Oreochromis niloticus: one gene and its partners. The protein of the gene in region 1 purifies or fractionates together with the protein of each later gene. This does not show direct contact. Links are inferred from orthologs where the notes say so. Each region holds a gene or a part of one and is shown in the gene's direction. Other genes may lie near its edges.

What was found.
Region 2: the proteins of prkcz (region 1) and llgl2 purify together in Homo sapiens (affinity purification with mass spectrometry; 7 studies listed by BioGRID and IntAct, counting the BioPlex papers as one, with this or other methods). This does not show direct contact. The link is inferred for Oreochromis niloticus from reciprocal best matches to the Homo sapiens genes PRKCZ and LLGL2.
Region 3: the proteins of prkcz (region 1) and pard6gb purify together in Homo sapiens (affinity purification with mass spectrometry; 6 studies listed by BioGRID and IntAct, counting the BioPlex papers as one, with this or other methods). This does not show direct contact. The link is inferred for Oreochromis niloticus from reciprocal best matches to the Homo sapiens genes PRKCZ and PARD6G.
Region 4: the proteins of prkcz (region 1) and c1qbp purify together in Homo sapiens (affinity purification with mass spectrometry; 5 studies listed by BioGRID and IntAct, with this or other methods). This does not show direct contact. The link is inferred for Oreochromis niloticus from reciprocal best matches to the Homo sapiens genes PRKCZ and C1QBP.

What each region holds. Positions count from the first base shown.
Region 1 is NC_031984.2:33,854,889-33,862,834, forward strand, and holds the start of prkcz (protein kinase C zeta type), read left to right. Parts: upstream 1-4,932; 5' UTR 4,933-6,651; coding exon 6,652-6,728; intron 6,729-7,946. Other genes in the region: L-rhamnose-binding lectin SML, read left to right, coding at 1,202-1,277, 1,419-1,451, 1,537-1,587, 2,331-2,466, 2,927-3,033, 3,164-3,208, 3,311-3,443, 3,874-3,977 and 1 more. UniProt on the Homo sapiens protein: Calcium- and diacylglycerol-independent serine/threonine-protein kinase that functions in phosphatidylinositol 3-kinase (PI3K) pathway and mitogen-activated protein (MAP) kinase cascade, and is involved in NF-kappa-B activation, mitogenic signaling, cell proliferation, cell polarity, inflammatory response and maintenance of long-term potentiation (LTP).
Region 2 is NC_031973.2:27,096,540-27,103,692, reverse strand, and holds the start of llgl2 (LLGL scribble cell polarity complex component 2), read left to right. Parts: upstream 1-4,005; coding exon 4,006-4,080; intron 4,081-7,153. UniProt on the Homo sapiens protein: Part of a complex with GPSM2/LGN, PRKCI/aPKC and PARD6B/Par-6, which may ensure the correct organization and orientation of bipolar spindles for normal cell division.
Region 3 is NC_031985.2:20,080,857-20,088,293, reverse strand, and holds the start of pard6gb (par-6 family cell polarity regulator gamma b), read left to right. Parts: upstream 1-4,412; 5' UTR 4,413-4,693; coding exon 4,694-4,765; intron 4,766-7,437. UniProt on the Homo sapiens protein: Adapter protein involved in asymmetrical cell division and cell polarization processes. May play a role in the formation of epithelial tight junctions. The PARD6-PARD3 complex links GTP-bound Rho small GTPases to atypical protein kinase C proteins.
Region 4 is NC_031975.2:990,713-998,333, reverse strand, and holds the start of c1qbp (complement component 1 Q subcomponent-binding protein, mitochondrial), read left to right. Parts: upstream 1-4,604; 5' UTR 4,605-4,751; coding exon 4,752-5,004; intron 5,005-5,641; coding exon 5,642-5,792; intron 5,793-5,871; coding exon 5,872-5,962; intron 5,963-7,120; coding exon 7,121-7,216; intron 7,217-7,308; coding exon 7,309-7,434; intron 7,435-7,534; coding exon 7,535-7,621. Other genes in the region: ATP-dependent RNA helicase DHX33, read left to right, coding at 220-379, 473-561, 649-776, 874-1,077, 1,159-1,245, 1,594-1,902.

The sequences.
Region 1 (7,946 bases):
CTTCTGCTCTGTTTATTCTGGTATGCAATCCTAACGGCGTTATCTCTGACAGAAACAGAAGCACACAGATAACAGAAATAAACCTGCACACTTACATTTTGAAAATCTACAGGTTTGTCTTTTTTCATTTTGTAAATTGTATGTCAGCCAGTTCAGTATTTCCCGATTCACTGAAACCATGTGTCCTCCAAAAGATTCAAGATTCAAAGCGTTTATTGTCACGTTTCATTGCATTTCTCTGTGCAATAAAAGTCTTTCTCTGTACAAATAGATCAAATAAAAAAAGCATAAATAAATACAATTCAATAAAACTGAGGTAGATATCCATTTTTCTACTTGGTCTAATTCACTTTGTGGAGACAATCAAACAGCATAAAGAGTAGTTTAGCTGTTGGCCTTAAATAAAAACACGGCTTCTTTAGTGGAAACAGTATTTTATGGAGCCCATCAGCAAAAAGGGAACTGACTGATGTTAGCATCAGCGGGGAAAGTGACTCAGGTGGGATGCTTGCTGTGTTTTTGAGCTCATGAACACCCTGAGCTCTGTGAAACATTCTAATGTTAATAAATCAGAAGATAACATGTGAGTTTATTACGCAGTTTCAGTTCTGAAATAAATGACTTTTTGAAGTTACAGTGAGCCAAGTGTCATAACTTACACAGACTTGTCGCTCTATCCTTCAGGCCTGGGTCCTCGACCACATACAGAAAAGTTTGAGACCACATGAAAAATGACAAGATCCTGTTTTGCATGGTTGGATCTTAACAAGGTTCCAGGTCGAGCTTGAACATGCAACGAGAAGGAATGTTACTGAGACAAAACATTTTGCTGAGCGTGCACTTTATTGAAAACAACGTTTAAACTGAAACAGGCTGTTTTACTGGACCACACCTCCAAAAACCCTGTAACCCCCCCAAAAGGAAATCAAAGGTCCAAACGTGAACTCAGTAAAGAGCTCCACCGTTATTGTTGATCACTTCAAAAATTCATTGGAGCATGTTTGATCCAAGCATTTCCATGAAACAGTATATGTATATAAACTGTATATTTTTGTATGTACTGTATGTATAATCATGTCAAATCCTTCACTGGGCGAGCATCTGGCCACATGTTTGGGCACGTATCCAGCTGAACAAAAGTCTGAGGGTAAGGTTTGTTTAGCACGATAAGACGAGATTGCAGACGGACTCAAACCTATAAATGCTGAGTGTTTCTGCTGCAAGCATCAGTCTCACTGAGTCCTCTGAAACCATGCTCCGCCTCAGCAGCACGCTCTGTGAGTAGAGTCAGCATTTTTTCATTCATGTTGTTTTCTAGCCGAAGAAGATTTCTTCGGTTCATATATTTCAGGGTAAAGTGTCACGTTTTCATATTTGGCCACATTATAAATTCAGAGTGCTGCTTCTTTGTTTTTCAGTGTTGGCAGCAGCCTGTCTGCTTGTTAGCACAGGTAAGTGTCTGCTAGTCTGATTGTTTCTCAGTGTGCTTAGATTTAATATGTGTGTTAGACTAATAGCTCCATGTGTGCTTTAAAGGTGCGCAGAGAGTCATCACGTGTGGGAACCACGTCCACCGTCTGAGCTGTGGTAAGACCCAACCACTGCTCATGTTTCTCAGCGCTGCAGTGTTTCTACCACATTATTAACACAAACATGTTGTTATTTATTTATTGGGGATGATCATCGAACACGAATCACGTCATAGACACACAGTGAGGTATCACGAGAGCAGAAACACTCAGGACCGACTTTAAACCATGAATACAAAACTCCACATGCTGATATCCAACAGAAGGTTTACACCACAGTGTCCTATTCCTGCAGTTTTTATTCAAATAGGTCATTTTCACATCTTTTCAGCTGCCTTAGAAAAAGTGTCCATACAGAGTGCCACAGTAGTCGTATAGAGCCAGGAGCCACACACGGTGGTGCATTACCCCCCCACTCTGAGGATAGGCAGGAGAGAATGGACGGGTGGATTTTAAAACCTGTGAAGTGTTTCAGCAAACATACGTCACACCGTCATTCACCGCCTGGAGGAACCTCCACACAACAAGTCGGCCATTGCTTCAAAAATAAATAAGTGACACACATTAGTGTAATATAATCATCACTAAGATTTGGAAAACACGCCTGTTTCTTTAAGGGATCCTTGATTTGGTTCTATGAATACAGAGTGTGTAAGACAGGAATGACATTTGGGTTGGGGAAACATACAAAGCAGCAAGTGAGTAAAATAAGACTCTGTGAGTCTGACGGCAGCTGCAGACGTTCCTGGTTGGTAAGCTCCGTCGTTGTGTTTGAATACCTGCCTCTGTGACGTCCAACAGAAACCGGAGTGATTCGTGTCCAGGAGTCCATGTATGGACGTAGAGACCGGGACACGTGCAGTGGAGAGAAAGCTGAAGAGGTGGCCATCAATACTGCGTGCTCTCTGGAGGGCGCTGAAGACATCATCAGGACCAGGTATACGTCCCAATAAGACACCAGTATTTGTTATTAATGAATGTCACTGCTGCTGATCACCACATATAGATATGGTCCTGTAGAATAACAGGGGATGAAATGTGCTGTGTATTGTATGTATAGTGTGAAACTTCAGTGATGTGAGAGATCATGTTAAAGACGAGAATGCTTTTTGAAAAATGAGTATAAAAGAATCAGAGTGCCTTCTTTCATGGATAGTGATCGTGGAGTAAGAAATGCCAGGTTACCAGATCCAGTGCAAAGCTGGGACTGTGGGCCTTTTGCCTGAGACAAAACAGATGATTTAACTTATTAACTTTGATGAAGTTTGTGGGGAATTCCTTTTACCTTACAAAAACCCCATAATCATGTAGAACCCAATGAAAGACTGTTCTTCTCAGCTTAGGTGGGATTTCCCATGGTGCTTCACTGCTGACTCTACTTTTTATTATCTGTTCAGCTGTGATGGCAAGAAGGTGTGTGAAGTAACCCCGGCCATCTTTGCAAGAGATCCCTGCAATGACACCTTTAAATATATCCAGACCACCTACACCTGTATACCAGCAAGTGAGTCACACACCTGCTTTAAACAGTAAAGCTTCACTCAAGCTCCGAGTGCTCCACCTAATCTGACCCGAGTGCTCCACCTAATCTGACCCGAGTGCTCCACCTAATCTGACTGATGTTACTTTGGCAGTTCACCTGATAATCTGCGAGCAGTCTATGGTCGAACTGCAGTGCGGTAAGATCACGTGTGACCCGACAAACTTTAACGTGTGCTGATAACTGCCTCTCCAAGCACCCTTCTTCAGTTTTCAACAGCACGCACTGCTTTCTTTGACAGACCAGGGCCATGTCATCCACGTCTACCATGCTGATTTTGGGCGCCGTGATCCACACATATGCTCTGTCAGACGGGAGGCCTCACACATGGAAAACATCAAGTGTTCAAACCCCACTGGCAAAGTTGCTGAAAGGTACAGCTTTAACATTAATGTGATATTTTACTTTGAGTGACCAACGAGATCTTAAACATGACTATGAAGTCTTTGGTCTTTGGCACTCTCCTCTCATCTTGTAGCCAACGACACATATTTCTGAAGCTAGCAGAGCTGAAAGTATGATTTGGGTGAGCTGGGACGTGCAACCATCACTTTGTGAACAACTTTGTGTTCACAGCGTTTGCTGTCCCCACACAGCCAGGGGTTATAGCCTGGGTTTGATCAGTGTTATTAATCAGCAGTATTCATTTGGATTTATGTAATTAGTGTTGTACATCATTCCTACACATCGTCTAGTATGAGATAAACAACAAACAAACGTGTCTTTAATTTGCTTTGTCAGCTGGGGATCTTTACTCCCTACCTTTAAGTGTTTCATCTGCTCTGTGCTGCTCTGCATCCACAGGTGTAATGGGAAACGCACCTGTTCTATGAGAGCAAGCAGTGGAATGCTTGGCGACACCTGTCCTCATATGTATAAATACCTGGAGCTGACTTACAACTGTCTGAGTAAGTAGCTCAAAGGATGAAGAGTATGTGAACGGTACATGACACAAGGGGAAGAAAAACCAGCAGCAGAGCCAAACAGGTGCTCAGTGATCCACCTGTGATGTCAACAATAACAGGCTGCTTTATTTAGCTTCATTCTTCACTTGAAGTGTAACTGTTACAGTGAACAGCCAACCACATCTGATTGTGTGTGTTTGATCTTTTGCAGAATCTGTAGGTGCTTGAGAGGATTAAAGATCCTGCAGTAACAGTATCCTTCACTAAATAAAATACATGAAAAACAACATGTTTTTGTGTGTTTGGGACTCATCAGTGTTTTCATGTGTACTGTCATCTATATGGACCATTCACTCACTGGGCCCACATCCTCATTTAAGGGCGAGAACAAACAGCTTGTAGAACTGGGGGAAAGTATATAGATGAGAACCGGAGGGGGCGTGTTTGGAGGTGTGGTCCCGCTCCTGAAATTCAGATACTTTATCTCCAATTTGTATTCATACTGATCGCTCAGGTCAGAGGCTACAAGAGGATCAAAGTGAAGAAATGAAATGACATTTAATCTTTAGTGCAGCAACATGACATTTATAAAAATACTAGTTTTCCTTAGAAGGAGAAATTATTTCTATTTACACACAAAAACCAAAAATGATCGGGGTCAATAAAAGTTGACCTCTTTTGAGCTATGGCACAATGAAACTGCTGCTGAGCAATGATGTGCTTTAATGTTCAAAGCACGTCAATCAAGTTCAAACTACAAAAGAAACAGACGGGAGAAAAAGAAACGATTCTCACAAAGCAGGTTTGATACAAACTGATCACAGTGTGTCAGCAACTGGAGTGAAACTCAAAGAGAACCACACAGAGCAAGTCTGGGAGATGTGTCTGAAGACCCCAGAGGTGCCAAGAGACCCGAGGACCTCAGTCAGTAAGTGCATTAAACAGCATTTTGAATACAACTAAAAATCAAACAATATCTTTTTCACTGAAAATCAACAAAGTCCGTTGTCCTGTGTTTGACTAATATCACATAATATCCTCATCTGTAGATTGAACTCACCAAAGCTCATATTGACCCTGTTATATCTCATCAGTTTTGTTCATATCTTTATCTTTAAGAATTGTTACGTCTCTTTAGTCTCCATCAGGTAATATCTGATTACTGTCATCTATCAGCTAATAATTTGATTTTCTAAAAGCAGTAAAGATCTGGATGTGGGCCAGGGCCAACTGCTCTTTAGTTAACTGTCCAGGCAGTGAATCCTGGTGTCAGACCTCACTAATTATTATTATTAGTAGTAAATTACTGACCCATGCAATTAACTCAGGGTGAACATCTTCATAGTCAACCTCTCTGGAGCTGCAACCTCAGCTTCTCACTCCTCACAGGTTTGGATTTTCATTTCTCTGATCACTCTGATGCCATAGGCTGGCAAAACTACCAGAGTTGTTACTTTATCCAAATAATTATGGAGCTAACTGTGAAACAGTGAACTACATGATTAATAACTCGTGAATCCTCCATCTATTGTTCACTGCTGGTCTGGGTGCCCGGATGTCTCTCTCCTCAGCTGCAGCCTCCAGCTCTTCTGGGGGACATCGAGGTGTCCCTAAACTAGCCACGAAACAATCTCCCCAGCGTGTCCTGGGTTTGGCCCAGTCTGCCCTCCTTATCTGGGAGGTGTTGAAGCGGTATCCTAATTCAGACGGCTGACCGGTCTGAGCGGGCTCCTCCCGGTGAGCAGGGGCAGTGTCCTGCCTTTCAGCCTCTCCAGAAGGACCATCTGTTCTGGTTTTTGATGCACAAACACAACAGCTTCCCCTCTGGGCTCAGGACCGACCATTACAGCAGGTCACTCTTTAGGCTGACCACGAGTGTCACTTTACACACTTCATGCATTATAACATTTTTGCCAATTAACCACCAGGGGGCGCTTAACACCATCTTAACATGACTGGTTATGCTGATGTCGGGTTTTTTCTGTTTGCCGGTGTACAGAGGTTGTCCTTACCTGGTGTGTACACGGGTCGCGTGATATTGACCACAGTGTTAATGAACGCATACATTTAATGCGATTGTTTATTTTAATATATCGTAGAAACCTGCTGTAACGCTGGGAGATGATAAGAACATATTAGAGTATTAGTTACAATATTACAGGATCATTTCTATGAGGATAAAACTGCATAAAAAGCGAACAGGAGTCATGAACCCGACCGCACACTGTCCGTGTCCTTTCAGATTATTAGCACGCTGTTTGCCGGGACAGCCGGGAAGCCCCGGTAGGTGAACAGGTGATTTTAGATTACGGTAACCATAGTGAGCCGAAAGAAAGCCCGTCAAGCGTGACTACACTCCGAGCTCGACCGATGACAGGTGAAGAGTTTTCCGTTTCAAAATAAGAGCGCTACTGTAAACCTTGCGCGACAGCTTTTATTCTGAAAGCCGGGGCCGGAAACACCACCGTTATTCACGCCACCTTACAAACTTCCCCAAAGTCTCTAATGTTACCTTAACGACAGAAAGTTTGAAGCGGCTCCGCTCGGGTTTGTTTTCAGCGCACTGGGCGTAGAGGTCCTCTGTTATCGGCGAGTGGAAACCGCTTTCTATCCACGTATCACACAGCGAGCGTGGGCCTGTTCACGTAGACACGGAGGAGCTGATCCACACTGTACGATGCATATGCTAGCGTCAAACGGATCCATAATGGACCTGAACTCGGAGTTTGTGAAGATTAAAGCGCACTACTGCGGGTAAGTAACGCTCCGTGGGTAAGTGGGAAGCACCTGTGGAATGGACACGAACAGCTATTCAGCACGTAGCCTGGCCTTCTTGGAGCTCCTGAGTCAGAGGGGCTTTAGTACCTGTGGCACCTGTGTTTAACCCACTCTGTGGGGTGCGTGAAAAATGACTTCAGAGGAAGCTTCGAGAATATTTTTCACCCTCGCGTAAAGTCAACGTTTGTGTTGATGATGGGGCACATGTGCAGTGGAAGTGGGCTGATTAGTCATCTTACACTGTGGAATCTAACGATGCTGTAGGATCGAAATCACCTCATCACACAGGAACAGTGTTTGTATGAACGAGGCAAGTTTATTATCGTGGAAGCAGCACAACGTAAGAACCAGTCCGTGTACCGTCACCATGACAGAACACGGAGATTACACGTCATGTTACTGTATGTCACATCTGGTATCGAGTCCACAGTGAAAATCTCATGTATATCTGATGAAGCCTGAGTGTAACCTGATACTGAAACACATGTGTGGTTCTCCGTGTGGGACAAACTGGACATGTTTGCGGTGTGACCGTTTTGTGTCCGTGGATGACTGGAGGTCACGTCACAGACGGGCTCTTCAACGAAAACTCAAAAGCTTTGCAGGATCTTTAGATTGAACTCACCAAAGATCATGTTGATCAAATTACATCTGGAGGAGGAGTTTGTTAAAGCATACGGCCTGAAAATGCCCCAAATGCTGCCAAAATGACACTAAAAAATAAATAAAATAAAATAAATAATCGCTGTCTGTCCCTAATGGTAAATGGCCTGTATTTGTATAGCGCTTTACTAGTCCCTAAGGACCCCAAAGCGCTTTACACATCCAGTCATCCACCCATTCACACACACATTCACACACGCATTCACACACTGGTGATGGCAAGCTACATTGTAGCCACAGCCACTAATTTCTCTAGCACGGTAATGAAGCACGGGGTTGAGCATTATATTCCCACGGTCGGGCCCCCGGTGTTCGCGCGCGCGCGCCGCCTCGACCCCGCGAAACTTTCCGTCACTTGGGAAGAGTTTGCAGCCATGGAGCGCCTTGGCATTGTACAGCGCTCGAACAGCGCATGGGCCTCTCCGCTTCACATGGTGCCCAAATCGGACGGTCGGTGGCGGCCATGCGGAGATTTCCGCCGTTTATATAATGCCACGGAGAATGACCGTTACCCCATCCCCACATTCAAGA
Region 2 (7,153 bases), on another chromosome or scaffold:
AACTAACATAAATAAAATACACTTCAGCTAAATACTTCTAATTTATTTGCCCAAACCACGTGGAGCCACAGTATAAGGACTAAAGAGCCGCATGCTCTTTAGTTCTACTAGACCAGGGGTCGCAGGTTGCCGACCCCTGGTCTAGTAGAACAAGGACTGAGCAATCGCGTCTGTCCGCGGCCATCGAAAGGTAATTTGTGACTTTAAGGAGAGCTGTTTCTGTGGAGTGTAACTTTCTAAAACGTGATTGAAAGTTATCAAGAACATTATGCTTCTCCAGTGTCTTCTTTACTTGTGACCAAATGGCTTTTTCTAATATTTTAGAAATGAAAGGAAGTTTTGAGATGGGTCTGTAGCTTGTCTGTAGTGTCGGATCCAGGTTAGGCTTTTTCAGCAGAGGTTGAATAACCCCCTGTTTAAAGCACCTGTGGACAGAGCCAGATAGCGGGGAACAATTTATCAATGTGACCACAGAGAGCCCAATGGTGTCAAAAACTTTAAGAAACAGAGAAGTAGGTAAGACATCTGCTGGACTCGTTGAGGGTTTCATTTGAGTTAGTATTTCAGATAGATATTTAAAGAAAGTGGGTGAAAAGATTCCATAATTATGGTTTGTGGGAGATCATGGTTGAAGAGGCTATTTAAGGGGGTTATATTTCCTCTTACCTCACTGATCTTATCTTGGAAAAGCTTAAAAAGTCATTGCAATCCATATCTGAGAAGACTGGTGTGCACGGAGTTGGAGGAGAGACGTTGCTATTCATTGAATCGAAGAGAACCTTAGGATTTCTTTTTCCTACTGCGAGTAGTTTGGAGAAATAAGTGGCCCTGTGATCCAGGGCGGGATTTAACAGAGCTGCCTTTTCTGATTTTAAGAGGAGCTACTTTATCTAGAATTTTTAGACATTGTGAATTGCAGGAGGCCACATGCCATTTCATATCATCCATTTCAGGTAGATTAGATTATTATCAAACAATTCCACAAATTCTTCCACCACAGAGTCAGTAATTAGATGTGAATGCTTCACATTAACAGAGGGCATAGTGTCATAGATAAAGGAGAGATTAAAGAAAAGATATTGTTGATGGCTAATAAAAATGTCCTCATGACGGACTGGTCCGATATCCAGACCCAGTGACAGAATGAGATCCAGGGTGTGGCCACAACTGTGTGTTGGCCCAGTCATATTTTGGGTCTAAGAGATTAAGAAAGTCAGGAGCGGCATGGCATGAACTGTCATCGACATGGAAATTAAAATCCCCCAGCAGAAGGATTGTTTTCTTGTTTCTTGTTGTCGTCTTGTTTTGGCAGTATGTGCTCTACCTAGCCTAGCAAATGGTGACAGAGAAACCATATATGACCACAAAATGCAGTACATTTTCACTATGCTGAAATAAAGGAAGACTTATCAATTAAGTCAGTGTCTTTTAGCTTTGTTTACATTTTGAAGCCTTAACGGAGTTTTGATAATCTCGTGCTTTTTGCTTTTTTTTCTTGACCGAATTGTGTAGGCAGAAGTTAGCAGGAAAGTTTGTGTGAAAAACCACTTCTAACACACAGCATCTACATTAAATAGCAGTTGTATTATGATTTCACAGAAAATCTCAGATGGAGAAGAATGTTTGATGGCTGAAGTGGGACAAATGATGAATACATTTACATTTGAATCCTAATTTCCCAGTGACTTCAAGCAGGGTAGTCACAGACAACCAAATATGTAGCCAGGGGCCTTATGACACCCAGGTCTCGTGTATTTTGTTTAACAGGTTTCTATAGAGTTTCTATAGTTTGAGGGGATAGGTTAATTGGATAATCGAAATTGTCACTAGGTGTGAATGTGCGAGTGAATGTGAGTGTGAATGGTTGTCTGTCCCTGTGTGTTGGCCCTGCGACAGACTGGCGACCTGTCCAGGGTGTACCCCGCCTCTTGCCCTATGACAGCTGGGATAGGCTCCAGCGCCCCCCGCGACCCTGAAAAAGATAAGCGGAAGCGAATGGATGGATGGAAGGTTTCTATAGACATTAGTGAAGCTAATGTTTTGGTACTGCTAGTAACCCTTTTTCCTCCTAGTAACCCTTATACTGCTACTTGTGTATTGGTGCAAGAAAAAACATGAGAGACACTGTACTTTTTGGAAGGCAACTGGACTGATTAATAAAGCCATGTATCTGATGGTGTGATTCATCTCTGAATTGTGGCTGGAGAACATGCTTATGGAAGAAGACAGGTTTTGATTGTGTTAAATAGTAGGATATCAATACAGGGAGTGCAGAATTATTAGGCAAATGAGTATTTTGTCCACATCATCCTCTTCATGCATGTTGTCTTACTCCAAGCTGTATAGGCTCGAAAGCCTACTACCAATTAAGCGTATTAGGTGATGTGCATCTCTGTAATGAGAAGGGGTGTGGTCTAATGACATCAACACCCTATATCAGGTGTGCATAATTATTAGGCAACTTCCTTTCCTTTGGCAAAATGGGTCAAAAGAAGGACTTGACAGGCTCAGAAAAGTCAAAAATAGTGAGATATCTTGCAGAGGGATGCAGCAGTCTTAAAATTGCAAAGCTTCTGAAGCGTGATCATCGAACAATCAAGCGTTTCATTCAAAATAGTCAACAGGGTCGCAAGAAGTGTGTGGAAAAACCAAGGCGCAAAATAACTGCCCATGAACTGAGAAAAGTCAAGCGTGCAGCTGCCAAGATGCCACTTGCCACCAGTTTGGCCATATTTCAGAGCTGCAACATCACTGGAGTGCCCAAAAGCACAAGGTGTGCAATACTCAGAGACATGGCCAAGGTAAGAAAGGCTGAAAGACGACCACCACTGAACAAGACACACAAGCTGAAACGTCAAGACTGGGCCAAGAAATATCTCAAGACTGATTTTTCTAAGGTTTTATGGACTGATGAAATGAGAGTGAGTCTTGATGGGCCAGATGGATGGGCCTGTGGCTGGATTGGTAAAGGGCAGAGAGCTCCAGTCCGACTCAGACGCCAGCAAGGTGGAGGTGGAGTACTGGTTTGGGCTGGTATCATCAAAGATGAGCTTGTGGGGCCTTTTCGGGTTGAGGATGGAGTCAAGCTCAACTCCCAGTCCTACTGCCAGTTTCTGGAAGACACCTTCTTCAAGCAGTGGTACAGGAAGAAGTCTGCATCCTTCAAGAAAAACATGATTTTCATGCAGGACAATGCTCCATCACACGCGTCCAAGTACTCCACAGCGTGGCTGGCAAGAAAGGGTATAAAAGAAGAAAAACTAATGACATGGCCTCCTTGTTCACCTGATCTGAACCCCATTGAGAACCTGTGGTCCATCATCAAATGTGAGATTTACAAGGAGGGAAAACAGTACACCTCTCTGAACAGTGTCTGGGAGGCTGTGGTTGCTGCTGCACGCAATGTTGATGGTGAACAGATCAAAACACTGACAGAATCCATGGATGGCAGGCTTTTGAGTGTCCTTGCAAAGAAAGGTGGCTATATTGGTCGCTGATTTGTTTTTGTTTTGTTTTTGAATGTCAGAAATGTATATTTGTGAATGTGGAGATGTTATATTGGTTTCACTGGTAAAAATAAATAATTGCAATGGGTATATATTTGTTTTTTGTTAAGTTGCCTAATAATTATGCACAGTAATAGTCACCTGCACACACAGATATCCCCCTAAAATAGCTAAAACTAAAAACAAACTAAAAACTACTTCCAAAAACATTCAGCTTTGATATTAATGAGTTTTTTGGGTTCATTGAGAACATGGTTGTTGTTCAATAATAAAATTATTCCTCAAAAATACAACTTGCCTAATAATTCTACACTCCCTGTATTTGCTTTTCACTAAGGAATAACAAAGGTGTGAACTAGAGGATTTATCTTTGAACATGCCCTCTTTTCTCCTCTCTCAAACTTTTACTTTCGAGCTGGATCATCTACCTCTATCTCCTGTGTCTCCTCCAGCCACCAAGTGTCAACGGGCCTTCTGGCTGCACGCCGGTATTGACAGGATGAAGAGGTTCAGGCGGCATGGTCAAGAGTCCCAGAGGGATCGGCTAAAACAGGAACTCTTTGCGTTTAATAAGGCAAGTAAATTAGACCATATCACACAATTTCAACCACATCACTACAGATGGCAATGTGAGTGATGAGGAGAAGAAGAAGAAAAAAAACATTCACAAGACTCTGAACTATCTGCAGTCATAATATGCATTCAAGTGACCAGGTTACTTAGCAGAAACAGAAAATAAAAGTAACCAGAACAAGATCAAATAAGCTGTTTACTTTAAATTTATATATTAGTTTCCTTTTCTCTCATTTTTTCTGTGTAACTGTATCATGGCAGAGCAATAGTATACAGATAGGTGCAGCTCAAGGCTACAACAGATTTTCACAGGTAGAAATGACCTTATTTGGAGTCCAAAGGACCGCTGTGTTTCCATTTTCCTTAGACTTTGGATGGAACCCTTCTAAATTTACAGTAATTCTCTATTTTTCTCTCATTCAAATCCTGCCTCTATTTATCGCCTTTTTTATTTTCAGTTGTTGTGAATGTGCATACTTTGACAGACAAAAAATGCTGATATGAGAAACCAATGCTTGTCCTAAAAAATGCAGTCAATAAAAAATAATGTTTAGCATCAGCATTGCAAAGTAAGGATCCATCAATCTGATCTTAGCGAAAGCAGAAACCATGGCATCACTATATGATATTCAGAATGTATGACATTTTCGAAAAACGTATGGACCTGGGGTTTTTTGGGGTGATTTTTGTCTGTACATCACCGTGGTCCCTTTAAATCAAGGAACACAGGCGTGATTGAAGACGTGCAAGCACTCAGCTTTAATTCAAGGGCTTTAACAAAAATATTGACTTAACTGTTATGGAATACGGCCATTTTTATACATGGTCTCCATTTTTAGTACTCTAGTGTTCAGAATGTAATTCCAAAAATTATCATTGTTCAAATACTTAAGAACCTGACTAATCTCAGCTAAGAATATATACATTTCAGACAGAATGTCACCAGGTAAATTTATGAAAGTGCGTTGCCTTTAAGAATCCATACAAATCCCAAACTTTGAACTCTAACCAGCGTAGGTATCCAACTTAAGTAACCATAACGATCTAATTAGGTTGATCCTAACATGAACAATATTATAGCCCTCTGGTTTTTCTAATCCCCTAATCCACTAACAATAACCAAGTGACAATGAAGAAGCTTAGTGGAGAAAGCAGTGTCACCTGATTATTTCAGTGCCTCTAAACCAGGGGTGTCAAACTTACAAACTTACTGTCTAGGGCTGCTCAATTAATCGAATTTTAATCTCGATTACGATCTGGGTTTTCAACGATCATTAAAAATGACTGAGCCGATTATTAGCACCTCCCTCGTGCTTTACTCTCGCGCTGCTCCGTGTGGCAAATCGAGCGCACCTCTCTGCGTTTCGAACACGCGTCACAAGAGGATCCGAGGGAAGCTCGGAAAGCTAAGCAGAAGTTATTTGGAGAGGAGAGGATAATGGCTGCTGAAGAAAGAATGCCGTTGGCTGAAAAGAGAGGTAAAACGACTTCAGTGGTGTGGAAACCAATGTTCCCTCTAAGCTGCGCACGTGCGCAATTGCGCACTGCTGGCACGGTCTCTGCGCACAGAAAATCTGCGTTGCGCACAAAAAAAAATCTAACCTGAATTGAAATTAAAATTAAAACTTTAACAATTCTGTTTTGCAGTGTTAGTCAGTGAGTGACTGGCTGCTCCTGTATGGGATTAGAACGATGCCACCTTATCCTTTAGTCCAGCCAATAATGCGATTCACATTCGTATATACGCAGCCAATCAACGTCACTAACAGGCTATGACAGCGTCCTTATGTGCCGACACCGGTGTTTTAGCTAGCAAAGCGGCGTGGCTGATGTGCATTCAATAAGATGCCACACAAATTGTTTGTGCCACTCCAAAAAAATAATTTCTGTCCACTATAAAGGAGAACATCACAGCCTGATACCTGCAGGTCTGACAGCAGCAGGTGTATCACTCCTGTTTCTACCTGGAGACAGCAGTCGCCTCATTGTTCTGACACACAACACAAAACTATCCACAACACTACACACTAACTACACAAGACAACACATTAACTACACACTCCAAACACGCTAAACATCACAAATCTCTCACATCTCAAAACTCGCACTCTCTCTTTTTCTGCTGTCTCTCTCTCTCTCTCTCCCTCCGTCACTCCTAAAACTTCCCCTGTTTTGTTTTTTTGCTCATAAGCAGAGAGCGCTAACGTGGCGAAACTATTCAGGAAAAAAACGCTGCGTATATCTTTTTTTTATCATGACTCTGGTTTTACGTGGCCTATCAACACAATTTATAAACTGGTATATATCACCTTGTTGCTTTGTCTTTAAGTGGTCATGTGATTGGCTTACCACGACTACTTTATTCTTCCTCAGTCAAACAGCAGCACTCATGCCATTGTTTTGCCCCCTTAGCTCCAGGTGTTGTGCTAGACAGTGATCGTGATTACCGTCCGCGGGAGCGCGCACAGCTGCTTAAAGCTGTAGCGTCCAGATTACTTACAGCTACTTCCGTGCAACTGATATAAGATGCGGTAAGCTGAACACAGCTTCAACCATCTGTTTGTTGAAAAATAGTAACGGACCGCATTTTCTTGTTAGTAACGGTAACGGCGTTGTAACGATAGGAATAGTAATTAGTTAGATTACTCGTTACTGAAAAAAGTAACGGCGTTATTCCCATCACCGTTAATGACAACGTGTCCAACCATTGGAGATGTGAGCAGGACAGACGGAACAACTGACGGGAAAAGTGTGGACTTTATACCAGTTTTTAAATTGTGTTGATAGGCCATGTAAAACCAGAGTTATGATAAAAATATATGCAATGTTTGGTTTTCTTCCTGAATACTATCGTTATTTATATTTACTGCGGGAAGAAACGGTAAAAATGGCGTTTTATAAGGAAAACGCTCGAAAGCACTCTCCGCCTGTGAGCAAAAACAAAACCAAAAAACCCCCCACCCTTTCCTATTGGTCAAAAAAAGTACCGTGTCGACCAATCAAAAAATGATATGGCAACGTGGCATCTAGTTGTTAAGAAACGGGGGGAAGTTTGAGGAGTGACGGCGGTGTTC
Region 3 (7,437 bases), on another chromosome or scaffold:
AATCAACCATAAACACAATTAAGATTGAATATTTCACTGTCACCATTACAGCCACTTGCTTATTGTACCAAAAATCTGGTTAACATACAGGACTGTACAAAAGCCTTGAACCACCTTTTTGTTTTTTCTTTCTATTTTGCTTCCAAAACATTCCAAGCCACTTATCACTGACATGAATCAGTGAGATGAACTGCGTTCTGTTAATCAGTGGCAACAGGTCTTACGGAATAATTAATCCAAATTTTATATTTTTGATTCAAATCATTGTCATTATGTATCAAGGACGTCAGGAGAGAGGTCTGCAACCATCTCTAAAACATGGTGGAGGCTCTGTCATCATTTGGTGCTGCATTTCAAGTGTCTGGTTGGTAACAGTTTCATTTTTCAGCATGACAATGATCCAAAACACACTGCCAATGCCATAAAAACACACCTGGATAGAAAAACACACAATACAACACTATCAACCATGGATTGGCCTCCCCAGAGCTCAACATTATTGAAGCAGTGTGGGATCATCTTGACAAGAGACATAACAGATGACACCCAAAATCCAAAGAAGAACTTTGAATGTCCTTCAAGAAGCCTGGATAACTATTCCTGGAGATTTATTAAAGAAATTACTAGAAAGCCTGTCAAAAAAAGTTCAGGCTGTGGTGAAGAATAAAGTTGGGAATACCAAATATTGACTTCCAAGCTTGTTAGAATACAAAGTCTGTTTTCCACTTATACACTATATTTCCATGTACACTTGTTTAAATAAATCACGGCACATATTTCCTATTTTTCCAGCAAAATATCAAGAAATAAGGGGTGGCTCGGGGCCTCTGGACACTGCTGTTTGTTGGTATATAGACTCATCTCACTGCTGATCAGTCCCAAAGCAGTGGCAGACCCCCTTGTCGTGTTTTGAGATAACTATAATAGATTTAGACTCATTCTGAATAGAGTATTGGATGGCTTTGCTCAGCCAACATCCTAGTTGGTTTTGTCTGTATCGAGCTGATTGATTACTTGTGTGTAGTCAGCGCCTTTGATGTGGTTTTATTTTATTTTTATTCACGTCCAGAGTAAATTTATATGTTTGCCTTGTAATCCTCATTGATCATGAAAGCCTTATAACTTCCATTTCAAAGAACATACTAGTGATTGAAGCTTCTTTATGAGTTATGGCTTTGTTTTGTTTCCTTGATGACAAATACAGTATTCTTGTAAAATCATTGAAGATGTGAGATGAAAATCTATGTTTTAAAAAAACCCATTCATTCTCTTTGATGTTGCATAAAGTTTTATATTTAAAAGAAAGTCTGGATGTTGCCCCACCATCTACAGAAAAAGAAAAATCATGTAAATGGCTTTGCTGCAAGATAGCTGATTAAAGTAGATGTGCATCCCCCTTTGTCTCTTTCTCTCCTAATTGATTGCCTGGCTTTTGAGACAAGAAGAAAATAAATATCTTCAAGCCAAGATACTTTAGTTGCACAGAAAACTAAAAGGGGGTTCCCCTGCCAACGCCAATACACTATACTGCAGTTTTAAAGAGGCAATGTGGGCCAACACTAAAATTTAGTGAGATCTTCCTTTGCCCATGCTCCACTACTGCTCAATGAAGTTTCATGACATTTACTTTTTGTGTAATGTTGATGACAAACAGAAAAACTGAAAACCTACCTTCACTGACAGCATCCACAATAGTTCGTGGCAAGACAACATCCCTAAACCTTCAGACCGTGTCATTTTTACTCGTGTTAGATCGTTCTTCCAAGCGCCCTGCAGCAGATCAGCAACCTGACCAAGATGTGCTCTGCTTTTTTCCCTAGGACACCAGCGGTTGCATGCCGGAGCAGCAGGTTGAGTGTCGTGGATGACAACAGACTCAATAAATTGATCCGTAAGACCAGTAGCATTGTAGGGATGGAGCTGGACTCAAGGTGGTGTCAGAGAGGTGGTTGTTGTCCAAGATAGATACAATACTGGACAATAAACTCTCATCGACTCCATGATGTGTTGGTCAGTCACAGGAGCGCGTTACCCAAATGCACCACTGAATGACACAGGAAGTCATTTCTTCCTATGGCCATCACTCTGTACAACTCCTCCATCTACACAAGTACACACTGCAATAGTTGCACACCCTTAATATCACATCCTCTACAAAGAAAAGTTACAATTAATATAACAAAAGGGGCACCTCAGTGTCACCCATATATATGTAATTTCGTGTAATATACAGGGATATTTATGATTAGAGCTATTTGTATTTATTAGAGCGATTTTGTTATATTCTGTAATATATTGTATTATTCTATTTAGTTTAGTTAGTTCCTATTGGATCAACTGTGACCACATAATTTCCTCTGAGGTTATTAAAGTATTCTGATTCAGATGCTAATTATGGAAATGGATGGACGTTCTTCCAAGTTTTGGCAACCAGGGAACATTGGAATTAATTCTTCTGATTGACACACAACAAAAACATCTATCCATCTTTCCTTATGGTAGGTTTATGGCAATCACCTGTGATGATTCAGGCCCAGATGGTGAAAAATGTAAAAGATTTAACTTTATGTAGAGGAAGGTCAGTATTTTTCCACCATAATTCAGTTAAAACATATGCAGATTTTTGAATTTACTAAAGCACACTGACTAAGTCACGCTGTAACTGTTGCACTGTTAAAGTCATTAAAACAATACCACACATCGGCCGTTAGTGGGCGCAATAAGCTTAACTACTCGTTTTCTTAACGCTAGTTATATAGAGCACCACCTCATTCACCTTACAATATTTCATTAATTATTAACTACCAGCAAATATGACGAGCATCAGATGTTGCAGAAACACACAAAAATCACCGTCTCTTCTTTTTCATGCTAATAAGTCCTAACTTGATTGCGGGCACCCATCAGATGTAGTTCTGACTACAGTTGATAAACATTTACACACTAAATCTACTACAGCGTAACTATCCCTGCATGCAGTCACATAAGGAGCACTGCAGTGTCTGTGCTGCAGGATCGCAGTGAAACCTGGGTTTGGGTTCTGTTTGTAAGCAGTCAACACATTCCTGAAGAGAGTAAACCAGCAGCACTTTCAGCTACTGAGAGGGTGTGTGTGTGTGTGTGTGTGTGTGTGTGTGTGTGTGTGTGTGTGTGTGGACGGGGGGGCATGCAGCCTGCAGCTGTTGTGCACAGCCAGCTTCAGGGGCCCAGGAATGCTGTCAAGCAGGATTGCGGTCATGGATGCTAATTAACCCAGCTGAAAATGAATATTCCCGATCAGCTGGTTCTTACGCTGTGAGGTTTTTGGTTCAGGTTGAATGGCTCTGGATGCCTATACCTCACAAAGGAGGGGGTGTGAGATTATCACGTTCCAGGGCCAATTAGAGATGTTTACCTGGTGCACTTTGAAGCTCTCTGCTGACAGAAGAATAGCTTCCTCTTGGCCACCCAAGTTGGGTGGCAGGTCTTGTTACAAATCCTGTGTAACCTGGATAAAAAGATGGTTTTATGGTCTGTAAAAGATCACAAAAATAAGACTTAATGGTATCATAGGCCACATTTAACTCCATATTATGAAGACAATGTAAAAATACAAGTAAATCTTCACCTGTTATGTATCTGAAAAGTTGAGCAGGCTACAGCAGATGGTTAAATATAAAGATATGTGGCTGTTTTCTTCACACTATGGTGTTTTTATGTGTTTGAGTTCCCAGTGGCTCACGCTTCACCTTCACTTACAGAGGTAATGATTGTAAACTGAACTCTTAAACCCAATTTATGTTGTTGTTGGGGGATTTTTTTATATTAAAAGATATATGTTCCACACCACAGGGTTTGTAGGCTTACACCACCTTGTTGGGATCAATGAATTCAATCATTTAAATACAGACCGTTTTTAAAAATGCTTAGAAAATCGCGTCCTCTGGTGTCTCGGAGGTCCAGCGTGCGCAGTGCTGCCTTCACAGATCCTGGAAATACACCAACTAACCGGAAAGACCACTCTTTTTTTTTTTACTCTGAATATATTAGGCTATAAATTGGACAGGGCGGGGTTAGAGGAAGTCTGCCTACTTTTGAGATTTAAAAAAAATATATATTTTAGTTTAATTATTTTTGCTTCATTTTTGCTTCATATGCATCAAAAGACGACTAAACACGGCTGATTTAATATGATCATTTTATTAACAGGACATAATACATATCAAGTTGTCATTGTTATAAATATTTGTGTGTGTTTTGTTTGTTTGTTTTGCGATAGCATACATTCTTAAACCTTAATCCATCATCAGTAGTAGCTGTTATTTACTCAGCCTTTACTGACTACAGTAAGGATACAAAGAGATCCCGCCTGAGGGAGTTGGGGATTTCGTGCGGTACGTGAATGCATCCCAGAATCCCGTTTTTTTTAAGAGGGCTGATGTCATTTTCAAAACTTAACTCACACTCCTCAAGTCAACGCGGCGAGTCGCACACCTCCTGCTCTCTCGTGAAGTCCTCCCTCATGTCTGTCGGAGCGCACTGAGAAAAGAAAAAAGAAGTCGGGGAGGTGAAAGAAACACCAAGTTCTGTGGAAGAAGCGAACAGGGAGAATTTTTTAGAGCAGAAAGCCCGGGACCAGAGCCCCTCTCTCTGTGGGCAAAGGCGGCTGAACTTTTTTTTTTCTTTTTTTTTTTTTCCTTCAAACGGGAAAAAAATGAATCGGAGCTTTAATAAGTCGCAACCTCTGCGAAATCCTAACTGCAACGCTGTGGAAGTGAAAAGCAAGGTGAGTGGAAACTTGAAAGCCCTGCTTGGTGGTGGCGTTGGTGGATAGGATTCGGGGGGATTAAAATAATAATAATAATGATAAATGTTCACATGGCTGTCCCGTCACGGAGCCGGAGTTGGTCGGACGGTGTGCAGCCTACGCCACATAACTATTTCCGCTTTTTTCCCCGTGAGTTGTGCGGGGAAAGTTACAGGTTCTGGATGTTTCTCTCATTTGCAGTGATTGTTTGCTTCTTACTTCCGATCCAGATTGTGCTGATTTGACTTTTTCTATCCCGATGCTGCTGTGGGTGGTTGATGGAGGGGGGCTGGGTAGGTGGGTAACGGGGTTGTTTTTGAAGCACCTAGTTCTCCAGATTTCCTACAGCAACAAAGTTTCCACCTGTTAAAATCAGACGTTGCATTAGTTGCACTGAGTTTTTGTCTTGCTACACAGTATCAGCCTAGCTCTTTGTTTTGGATCATTTTTTTAAACGCTGACAGACTAATGGACACACAAACATCAAGTGGATTGCCAAGATTTCAAGTGTTATGTCTCAATGGAGTGCCCTGATTTATGAAGCTTTTCATCTCAACACGTACACAATACATCCACATGAGCTATGCGGTTCTTATTTAAGTTTATACTGTAGAGGAAGAGTTTTATTTTTGTTTTGTTTTTTTATTACACAAGTGACAGTTTGTGTGGGCTCTGTGAAGAACTACCAGCTGACACTCATCACTTGTGAACCCCACAATGATTGCTGGTGACCTGCATTCTAATCCAGTGTTTCTGATTTATTTATTTGTGAGTATTCGCATGTGTTCACACCTGAGGGTTAAAGGGAGAGATGGGCAAGTGGTGCAAAAGGTGACTCATTCACTCCTGAGTTGTTTCCACCTTTTGGCCGCCCAGTTTCAGTGGGGTGGTGGACAGATGGAGCACAGATGCTCTGATGGTGACAGGTGGGTGAGCATGTACTTACACAGAAACGGCCAAAAAAGGGGAGTAGTGTTTGTGTGTGTGTAGGTGGGTTTTTTGTTCTTTTTGTTGTTTTGCCTTTTTTTTGCTGCAGGGTTTGTTCCACAGAGACAGGAGTGGTCACTCCGTGGCTGCCGCAGATTGTTTGTGGGTGGGACTGGCACGCCAGGAGCTCTGTGGCTAGAACAGACAGGTCCACGGCGTCACCACGGCACACCGTCATGCCACGACGTCACACGTTTCCACTTTTGGATCAGATGTGACTCATCCCTCTCCGTCACGTCACTTTAAGCAGTTTCACATTTTGTTCTACTTCGTCAGGTTGTGTTTTGTTTTGATCCGTTTGGGGTGTGTTGGGAGCTCTAACACCCTTCCCTCATGTTCCCTCATGTTCCCTCATCTCCCTCAGTGAAGAAATTAAGCGTGTTGATGAAAGAAAGCTGATGATTTGGAGAGAAAGTGACTGTTGTGGGTCTTTTAAAGCACACTGACAGTTGAGGACATTTGAATACCTGTAAAGGGAAATCTTATCTGTTACATAGCTCTGCCACAGTCTGGGCCTCTGAAGGCACAGAGGAGCAGGATCAGCTACACGTAATTCAGTTCATCATTTAGTAGTAAATAAAGATACGATATCCTCACAATACTTTGGTCGCATTACAATATTATTGCAGTTTTAAACATTTTGCAATGTTCTGAGTGTTGCAGTAATATGTAATGCAATCTATCATCATTTTCAAACTGCAGATTATGTCCTCAAAGTTAAACTTTGTCAGTGTTTGTTTTATCCAATAAGATAAAGTTATCTTGCTCTTTCTTTCCTGTAGAATGAGATTTTCCTGACTGCCAACACTGGCACTAAAAGCGTGCTGTAAATGTAACCTAATACTTTACTTTAATGAGTAACAGTAGTTAAATTTTTAAGTAATACACAGAATATGAAATGAAATAAAAGTTATAAAACATAAACAAGACCCATTGATGAGGTTTGGGACTCATAAATTGTGTAACACTCAACAAGACTTACCTTCTCATGTAAACGCGAACAAAACAAAAAAATACACACTAAAATTTATACAGGCTTCCTGCCTTCTCATTAGATACAGATATGTTTCCATAACAATAAAGAAACAAGAAATATCCAAAGCCAAACGACTTATTTACAGACTCGAATCATCCTCGCATTCACATTTGTTTTGTTTTTATATAGTTGTGTAAACTTGTGCCGTGACAAACAGGTTTTCATTTCCTCTACGTAGTTACTGTAAAGTTGTAATAGTTACTGTTGGTTCCTACAGCCACTTTATTAAACATGGAGTTCTCTCTCAGTACGTGGAGTTTTTGTATGACTCGAAACTACCTCTGATAGGAGAAAGATGCCGGTTCAATTGCAGACGGAGACGCAAATCGCTTCTTTGGTTGCAACAGGAGGGAAAAAAAAAAAATCTCCCAAGTCAAACGCATGCAACTGGTCGCTGCGGTGACCTTTTTGTGATTAAGGAAGCCCCCAAAAGTAGCTTTTGAGTGTCTTTGGGCGCAGTTGAACATTTGAGCAGGCATTTTTGTTATGTGATTACTTTCTTTAAACCAAAAAAAATGTCTAAATAATTTGTTAAGCAGAAGCAAACATGGCCTTTAGGTGCACTCCCTTTTTAATAATCGTATGCCAAATAACCAGGGGTGCACATAAGTGGTCAGCATGTGCACAT
Region 4 (7,621 bases), on another chromosome or scaffold:
CCACAAACTCCACTTTAATTCAGGGCGGAAAAATTTAGATTTCCAGTGTTTTTTTGACAGCTATAGGGATGCATTTAGATGTGTAAAAATATTTGTTTGGCTTGTGACCCTTTGAAAAAAGTTGAGCCCTCCCACCGCGATCCTAAATTGAACAGCACAGATAAGAGGTGCTTTTTGTTGCGTCAGTTCTCCTAACAGTGCACACGATGTGACTCTCAGACAGCGGCCTGGAGGTGTTGGCAGTGCAGCGCGTTTCCAAAGCGCAGGCGTGGCAGCGAGCAGGCCGGGCTGGCAGGGAGGACTCTGGCTTCTGCTATCGTCTCTACACCGAGCAGGAATTTGACAACCTCATCCCGATGACTGTTCCTGAGATTCAGAGGTAGGCTGTGGAGTCTGCTTTACACGTGTGATAGTAAAAATCCACCTTACATGTCTCATTGAGTCAGCTCTGTGTGATGCTTCTTACCCTCAGGTGTAACTTGGCAGGTGTGATGCTGCAGCTCATGGCTCTGGGGATTCCAGACGTGACAAATTTTGATTTCATGTCCAAACCTTCTCCAGGTAAGATGCTGTCAGTCAGGATTTACCTCTGGTCCTCCGGTACGCGATGCAGAGTTAGCTGTAGTAGTGCTTTGTATTTTACACCAGAGGCCATCCGTTCTGCTGTGGATCATTTGGAGCTGTTGGGAGCTGTGGAAAAGAAGGACGGGCAGGTTTTCCTCACCACTCTGGGAAAGAAGATGGCGAGCTTCCCTCTGGAGCCCAGATATGCCAAAGTAAATCCTGCTGGTTCTGCTCTGATCTTTTTTTTTTTAGCAAAGACAAAGTGTCGGCTCACAAGCAGATAACCCCTCTGTTTGCTCCACACCGCAGACCATCCTGCTGTCCCCGGACTACTCGTGTTCTGAGGAGATTTTGAGCATCGTGTCGCTGCTGTCTGTGGACACCGTGCTGTACAACCCTCCGGCCCGGCGGGACGACGTGCTTGCAGTGCGCAAGAAGTTCATGTCCAGTGAAGGAGACCACATGACACTGCTAAACATTTACAGAGCGTTCAAGAAAGTCAGCGGTAACAAGGTGGGTACGATGAACACAACTAATGAAAATACATAAATGAAATCATGCTGCTGAGCTGTCACGTGATCTCTGCTGTTGTAGGAGTGGTGTCGGGAGAACTTTGTCAACAGCAGGAACATGGGTCTAGTGAAAGAAGTCCAGGCACAACTTAAAGAAATCTGCCTTAAGGTACACATCTGCTAACCTCTGCTAGCACAGAGGGATTCTCCCAGGAATCGCTGATTATCCTGATCAACTACAGAGGATTTATTAACATTTAATGCAGCTCATTAGAGAATAATATCCATGCTTTTGAAAGTAAAGTGAACACAATGTGTAAATTCTGACAGTGTCAGTATTATTATGAATGTGCATCATCACACAGGCTAACGCCTCAGGGCTATTTTGAAAACAGCGAGTGCCGGTTGATGAATGAGTGTTTTCCTGCTTTGATCGATGCTGCACACCTGTCTTTGTGCATCTCTGCGGTGAACTCATGCGACCTGTGTACTAAGTCACGTCTTGTTGTTTTCCCAGCTGAACCTGAAACTGGAATCGTGTGGAGCAGACACGGCGAGCGTTCGCCGCTGCCTTGCCCACGGGATGTTTGTCAACGCTGCAGAGCTGCAGCCCGATGGCAGCTACTTGGCTCTAGACACCCACCAGCCCGTGGCCATCCACCCGTCCTCCGTCCTTTTCCAGGCCAAGCCGGCATACGTAGTCTTCAACGAGCTGCTGCACACCTCCCGCTGCTACATGAGAGACCTCTGTTTGGTCGATGCCGACTGGCTGCTGGATGCAGCGCCCGAGTACTTTGGCCGCAAGCTCCACCTCAACAAGAGCTAACCAACAAAGAAACAGGCCACCTGCCACAAACACACTTATTGCAAGTTGGTGCAGAACGTTTGCTGTGTCGTAAACTACTCTGGATTTCACTACCTCCCAGTTGACAAGCATTGGGCATCTGTCACTGAAGCAGAAGTCTGCATATCGAAGTTTGACTTCCTCTGGACTGTCATTCCGATTTTACGAGCTGTAATTTCTTCTTGTCATCATTTAGCCACACGGTTGGCCTGAAAAGCCAGTTTGCTTTGAAGTGTCTTGCTTTGATTCTTTCAGTAGTTGCATGCATTTATACAGCACAGGTAACCTCAGAGGAGCACAGCATGGGGCTGTTTTCCACCATGTTGTTCTTCTTCATTGCTACCAAATAGCCATCAAAACGCTCCAGCAGACGGATTAGTGGCTGCGAGTCCAAAATATGAGCTTTTCCGAAGCTAAGAAAAGCACTCTGATTGTTTTGGGTTTACATGAAGTGGTCTTACAGGGGTTTCTTTATGCAATCAAAGTAGATTTGTTTTACTCTACTTTCAGCTGTTCCCTTATTCACAAGAAAACATGAAAAACAAATGCAGTGTGTCACACTGACATGGTTTCACTTATACAGCACTAGCCTCGTTAGCTCGTGCATGCTCCTTTTCCCATCTGCAGTCATGTCACCGTCTCTTCCCCAAATACACGCACGTCAGGAGAAGTAGCATGCCTTCCTCTCCAGGTTCTGCTCATTGCTGTTTGTCGCGCAGATCCCCACACAGTTGCCAGACGTACCTGCTAACAGCAGACATGTGCAGTGCACGGAGAATCTGTTCAGCGATCTGATCACTCGGCTCCGTCACGCTTTGTAGAATGTAAATGACGTTGTGTTGATGATGGAGCGTCCTCTTGTCTTTTTTTTACACATTGGACTCAGGACTGTAAAATATAACCTGAATAAAGTATACAGTTTCTAACTTTGTAGTCAAACGCTGAATGCTTTAGAGAATTATCAAAAGTTGAGCCATTTCTGATCTGCATGAAGTTTATTGTAACGAATGCACGCCTGCCAGGGCTCATCTATGAGCGTGGATCATCTGATCCTAATACATGCCCATGTTTGTTACATATTCTAATAAAAACAAATCCACCTGAGTCGGCACAAGTCAGTCGCAGTTCTAACGTGTTTAGTATTATTGTGTTATGGCCATAGCATGGTTTAAGGACTGTGCGAAAGTCTTGAGCCACCTCATTTTTAAAAACATTTTGCTTCCAAGTAGATGACCTTTGGAATTCTTTAAGAGCTTTGGAGCAATAGTTCTCCAGACTAAGCTCTTCTTCTTTGGATGCTGGATGCTTTTTCACTCATTTTCAGTCCTGAACATTTTCAAAGGAACATTCTGGGTTTTTAAAAAAAATTATCATTCAAGTCTCTTAACACAGCCAGCACTTTGCATAACTCCGGGGGAGAAGCCAGTGTTGTCTACACATACAACATGTCATATCTTTAGGCGCTATGTTACTATATCATTTGCTCCCATTTCTTTATTTGAATCAACGGAAAATGCCAAAACTGACATTTCCGCCAGGGGCTCTTGTGTTATGATGGAGTTATGATTTTGACCCACCATACTATCTGAAGAGCAGTTTGTTTGTTATTTAGCATGATATTGGTCACAAACACTCTACCAATGCAGTAAAAGTAGACCTGGACAGAAAAGCACGCAACTGGACGACTCTTCCTGAAGACTACTCAAAGAAATGACAAGACTTGTCTAAGAGAGTTTAGGCTGTGCTGAAGAATAAAAGTGTTCATACCAAATATTTCAGACTTTCAAGCTCATTAGAATTGCTCAAACTCTGTTTTTGCCTCATGTATTTGCGTTTATGTTTCAATGAATCAATGGACTTATTTCCCATTTTAGTAGCAAAACAGAAATGAGAAGTGTCTCAAAACGTTTGACTATGTTCATTTAGTCAATTCAGAAAAACAGGATCTCCCCTGCTGCCGTTTAATTATAGACAGGCTCACATAGACTGGAAAGCAGCTCCATCTGCTGGCGGGAGGGATTCACATGATGCAACTGATCAGCCTCATTGCACCGAAGTGTCGATGTTTTACTTTGACTGATGCAACCCCGTCGTTAGGGGCCTCAGTCGATCATGTCTGTACACACACACACGCTCTGAAAATACAGTACAAATGCACTACGGTACACCAATCAAAAGAAACCCCTCCAAGCTTTTCAGTAAAAGAACTGAGGCTGGGATTTTTTATTAAATCCTGACAGTTTTTAAGCCAAAACGGGGTTTAACTCTGGAGCAAAGTCCTATTAAATCGGGCCCCTGCACACAGATATTTTTGCACTTTAATCTCCTTACATATGTATTTTTAAGAGTTTCTGTTTTAGTGTCACAGCGTGAAGGCAAAGGTATTATTAAAGTCCGCGGTGTTTCAGATTTGTAGCCACACTGTAAAAAGCTCCGCAGAACAAACGACATGAAAAACCCCAATTTAAACAGATAGCAGCGCCGGTCTGCTATCGCTGATTTGAACTACAGGGGGCGCTGATGTGTAGACAATCATTTACAACACACACGTAATTTTTCCAAATAACTTTAATTAGGTTATATCTTATTTATTTTTTCTATTATAATATTTTGTCGTATTCGGTGTAGTTTTTGATGTAGAATTTAAAATTGCTATTTCGTGTCTTTCGCTTTTAGAGTATTACTTCCGGGGCAAAGAGTATCTGGGTCAATGTGTCCTTCCACACGTGCTGTCAGCGTCTTCTAGAAGCAGCGTCGGTAACCGGTGTTCACAGTGAGCTGTGCGGCACGGAACTCATTTATTCTGTCGTGACAGGTGTTTTTGTACAATCATGCTAAAGTCAGTCGTCCGTGCGGTGGGAGCAGCTGCTCGCCTTTCTTCAGCCAGCACCTCCGCAGCGCGAGTTCTGCCCCTCAGCTACCCGGCACTGCGCTCTCCGAGTTCGGCAGTAACTCGGCCCTTCACCCGGTCTCTCTGGATGCTAAATAATAACGGAGCCTCGTCTGGATACAGGCCCAAACTCTTCAGCTCCAAGGTGTTGAGTCCGTCGATGTCGTGTGGATGTGGAGGACTGCACACAGAAGGTGACGTTTGGTGTAAACTCCTTTAAACAAGCCAGCCAGCTTACGAGACCAATAAACTTAACATTAGATGGATCAGACAACTCGTATTGCCAGAACCAACACGTCCTTTACAGTTTAAAGGGATAAAAAAAGATGTTTAACGATCGTTATAGACTGAGTTCATATCAGCATCTTCAGACTGTAAGGAGTCTTTCACCTTAAACTGTGATTAGTGGTTGTCACTGAAAAAGGCTCTGAAACCTGCCAATAGCCTTTGATCATTCAGCACACGTGACACGTCTAGGACTGTTCATAATATCCAACGAGACATCTTTAGACAGCCACAAAACAGATTTCTTTCATTTTCAGCAGTCTTACAAGTATTGGTAAATGGCCTGTATTTATATAGCGCTTTACTAGTCCCTAAGGACCCCAAAGCGCTTTACATATCCAGTCATCCACCCATTCACACACACATTCACACACTGGTGATGGCAAGCTACACTGTAGCCACAGCCACCCTGGGGCGCACTGACAAGCACTCGTGTTTTGTGTAAAATGTTAGAATCAGCCTTGTTTTTCATTTTATTGTCAGAAGTAAACCTTTAAACAAACTGTGCATCACGTCTCATGATGAAATCATAAACTCTCTGTTCAGGTGACAAAGCTTTTGGTGACTTCCTGTCTGATGAAATCAAAGAAGAGAAGAAGATCCAGAAAAACAAAAGTCTTCCTAAGGTGTCGGGAGGATGGGAGCTGGAGATGAATGGCACAGAGGCTAAACTCACAAGAAGTGTTTCTGGAGAAAAGTAAGTCTGCCAAAATGATTGGATAAACGTGGCCGGTGTGGCATGTGAAACAAGCTCACGGTATTTCTGCTCTTCACAGAATCGCGGTCACATTCAACATCAACAACAGCATTCCTCCCAACTTTGAGGAAGAAGTGGAACAGACACAGCAGAAATCAGCAGAAGAGGAGGTGAGGCACAGCTAGTGGTTGGAAGACACTATTCAAGCATAACCAAAGACACCTAGGAAAGATATCCCTCAAGGGACGAATCAGTGTTGTCTACACATAACAGACAATTTAGAAAAGAACTTAAAATTGTATCTTTAAGCTCTTTGTTGCTAGCAGCCTGTCACAAAAACATTTATTCACATTTCTTTAGTAGAAACTGTGAAAAATACGCCAACGATGGTTGGACACAGTTTGACAGGTTAAACATTGTACTTTGATTCCCAAAGAGCTGTCATTGCAGCACGTTGTGCAACATGGCCTTTTAAGAAAATCTGAGGAAACTGGACAAAAAGTGGTAGGCCTAAACCAGGGGTGTCCAACTCCAGGCCTCGAGGGCTGGTGTCCTGCAGGTGTTAGATATCATCCTGCATCAAATGATTAGTTCATTACCAGGCCTCTGGAGAACTTCAAGACATGTTGAGGAGGTCATTTAGCCATTTAAATCAGCTGTGATGGATCACTGGCTCTCGAGGCCTGGAGTTGGACACCCCTGCCCTAAACTATCTACAGCAGATGAAGAGTATCTGAAAGCTGAATCCTTAAGAAATGGATGAAAAAATAGAGCAAAGATTTGACAGAGAACACAAGAGATGTTCATTTATCTACTGTGACTGAGACCTCATCAGAAATGTTCTCAGTGAAAGGCTGCCTCTCAAGAAGCCATTGATCGTTGGTGAGGAATCTAAATGTGAAGGTTTCCTTTCAAATCATAGTATGTACAGAAAAGGTCAGGAGAGGGAAAACAGAGGCTACGACCATCTGCAAAGCACAGTGGAGGCTGCATTTTGTTAGTCCAAGAGATGGAAAACATCTCTGTTAGCGTGCTTGTCAAACGCGATAAAAGCTGAGTTGAAGAATAAAGACGAAATATTGACTTTCAGACTCGTTAGAACTGCATGAACTCTTAAGTTTGTCTTATACACTGTTTTCATATTTGTTTACTGTTTTCTTATATGTCTGCACTCATTTCAATAAACGGCTCCTCCATTTGCTAATTTCCTAACAACACTTAAAGAAACGAGGGTGGCTTGCACAGCACCGTAGGCGGCTACTGGCTTACACACTGAAGTTTTTAACCTCAACATTTTGTGTATTAAGCTTTTTACCCCTTTTTTGCAGCCGGAGATTGTATCAACACCCAACTTTGTTGTTGAAGTGACAAAGCAGGCTGCAAAACATTCCCTGGTGTTCGACTGCCATTTCCCTGAAGATGAGGTAAAGTCAAATAAAACGAATGTCTAATATTGCCGATAGCAGCAGTAGTGTGCGCAATAGTGAAATGAATATGAGGCATTTGTATTTCGTAGATAAGCCACGGTGAGGGAGAAGAGGAGAGCGACATCTTTGCCATTCGAGAGGTCAGTTTTCAGCCACAGGGAGATTCAGAGTGGAAGGAGACGAGCTACACACTCAACACAGACTCTTTGGACTGGGTGAGAGCCGAGGCAGTACACACAGCAACAGCTCAATTATAACGGTCACTGAAAGTGGCGCTGTGCTCAAGGTTGCTTACTTACTGGTACTGTTTCTCAGGCCCTGTATGACCATCTGATGGACTTCCTGGCTGACCGTGGGGTCGACAACACCTTCGCCGATGAACTCATGGAGCTGAGCACGGCC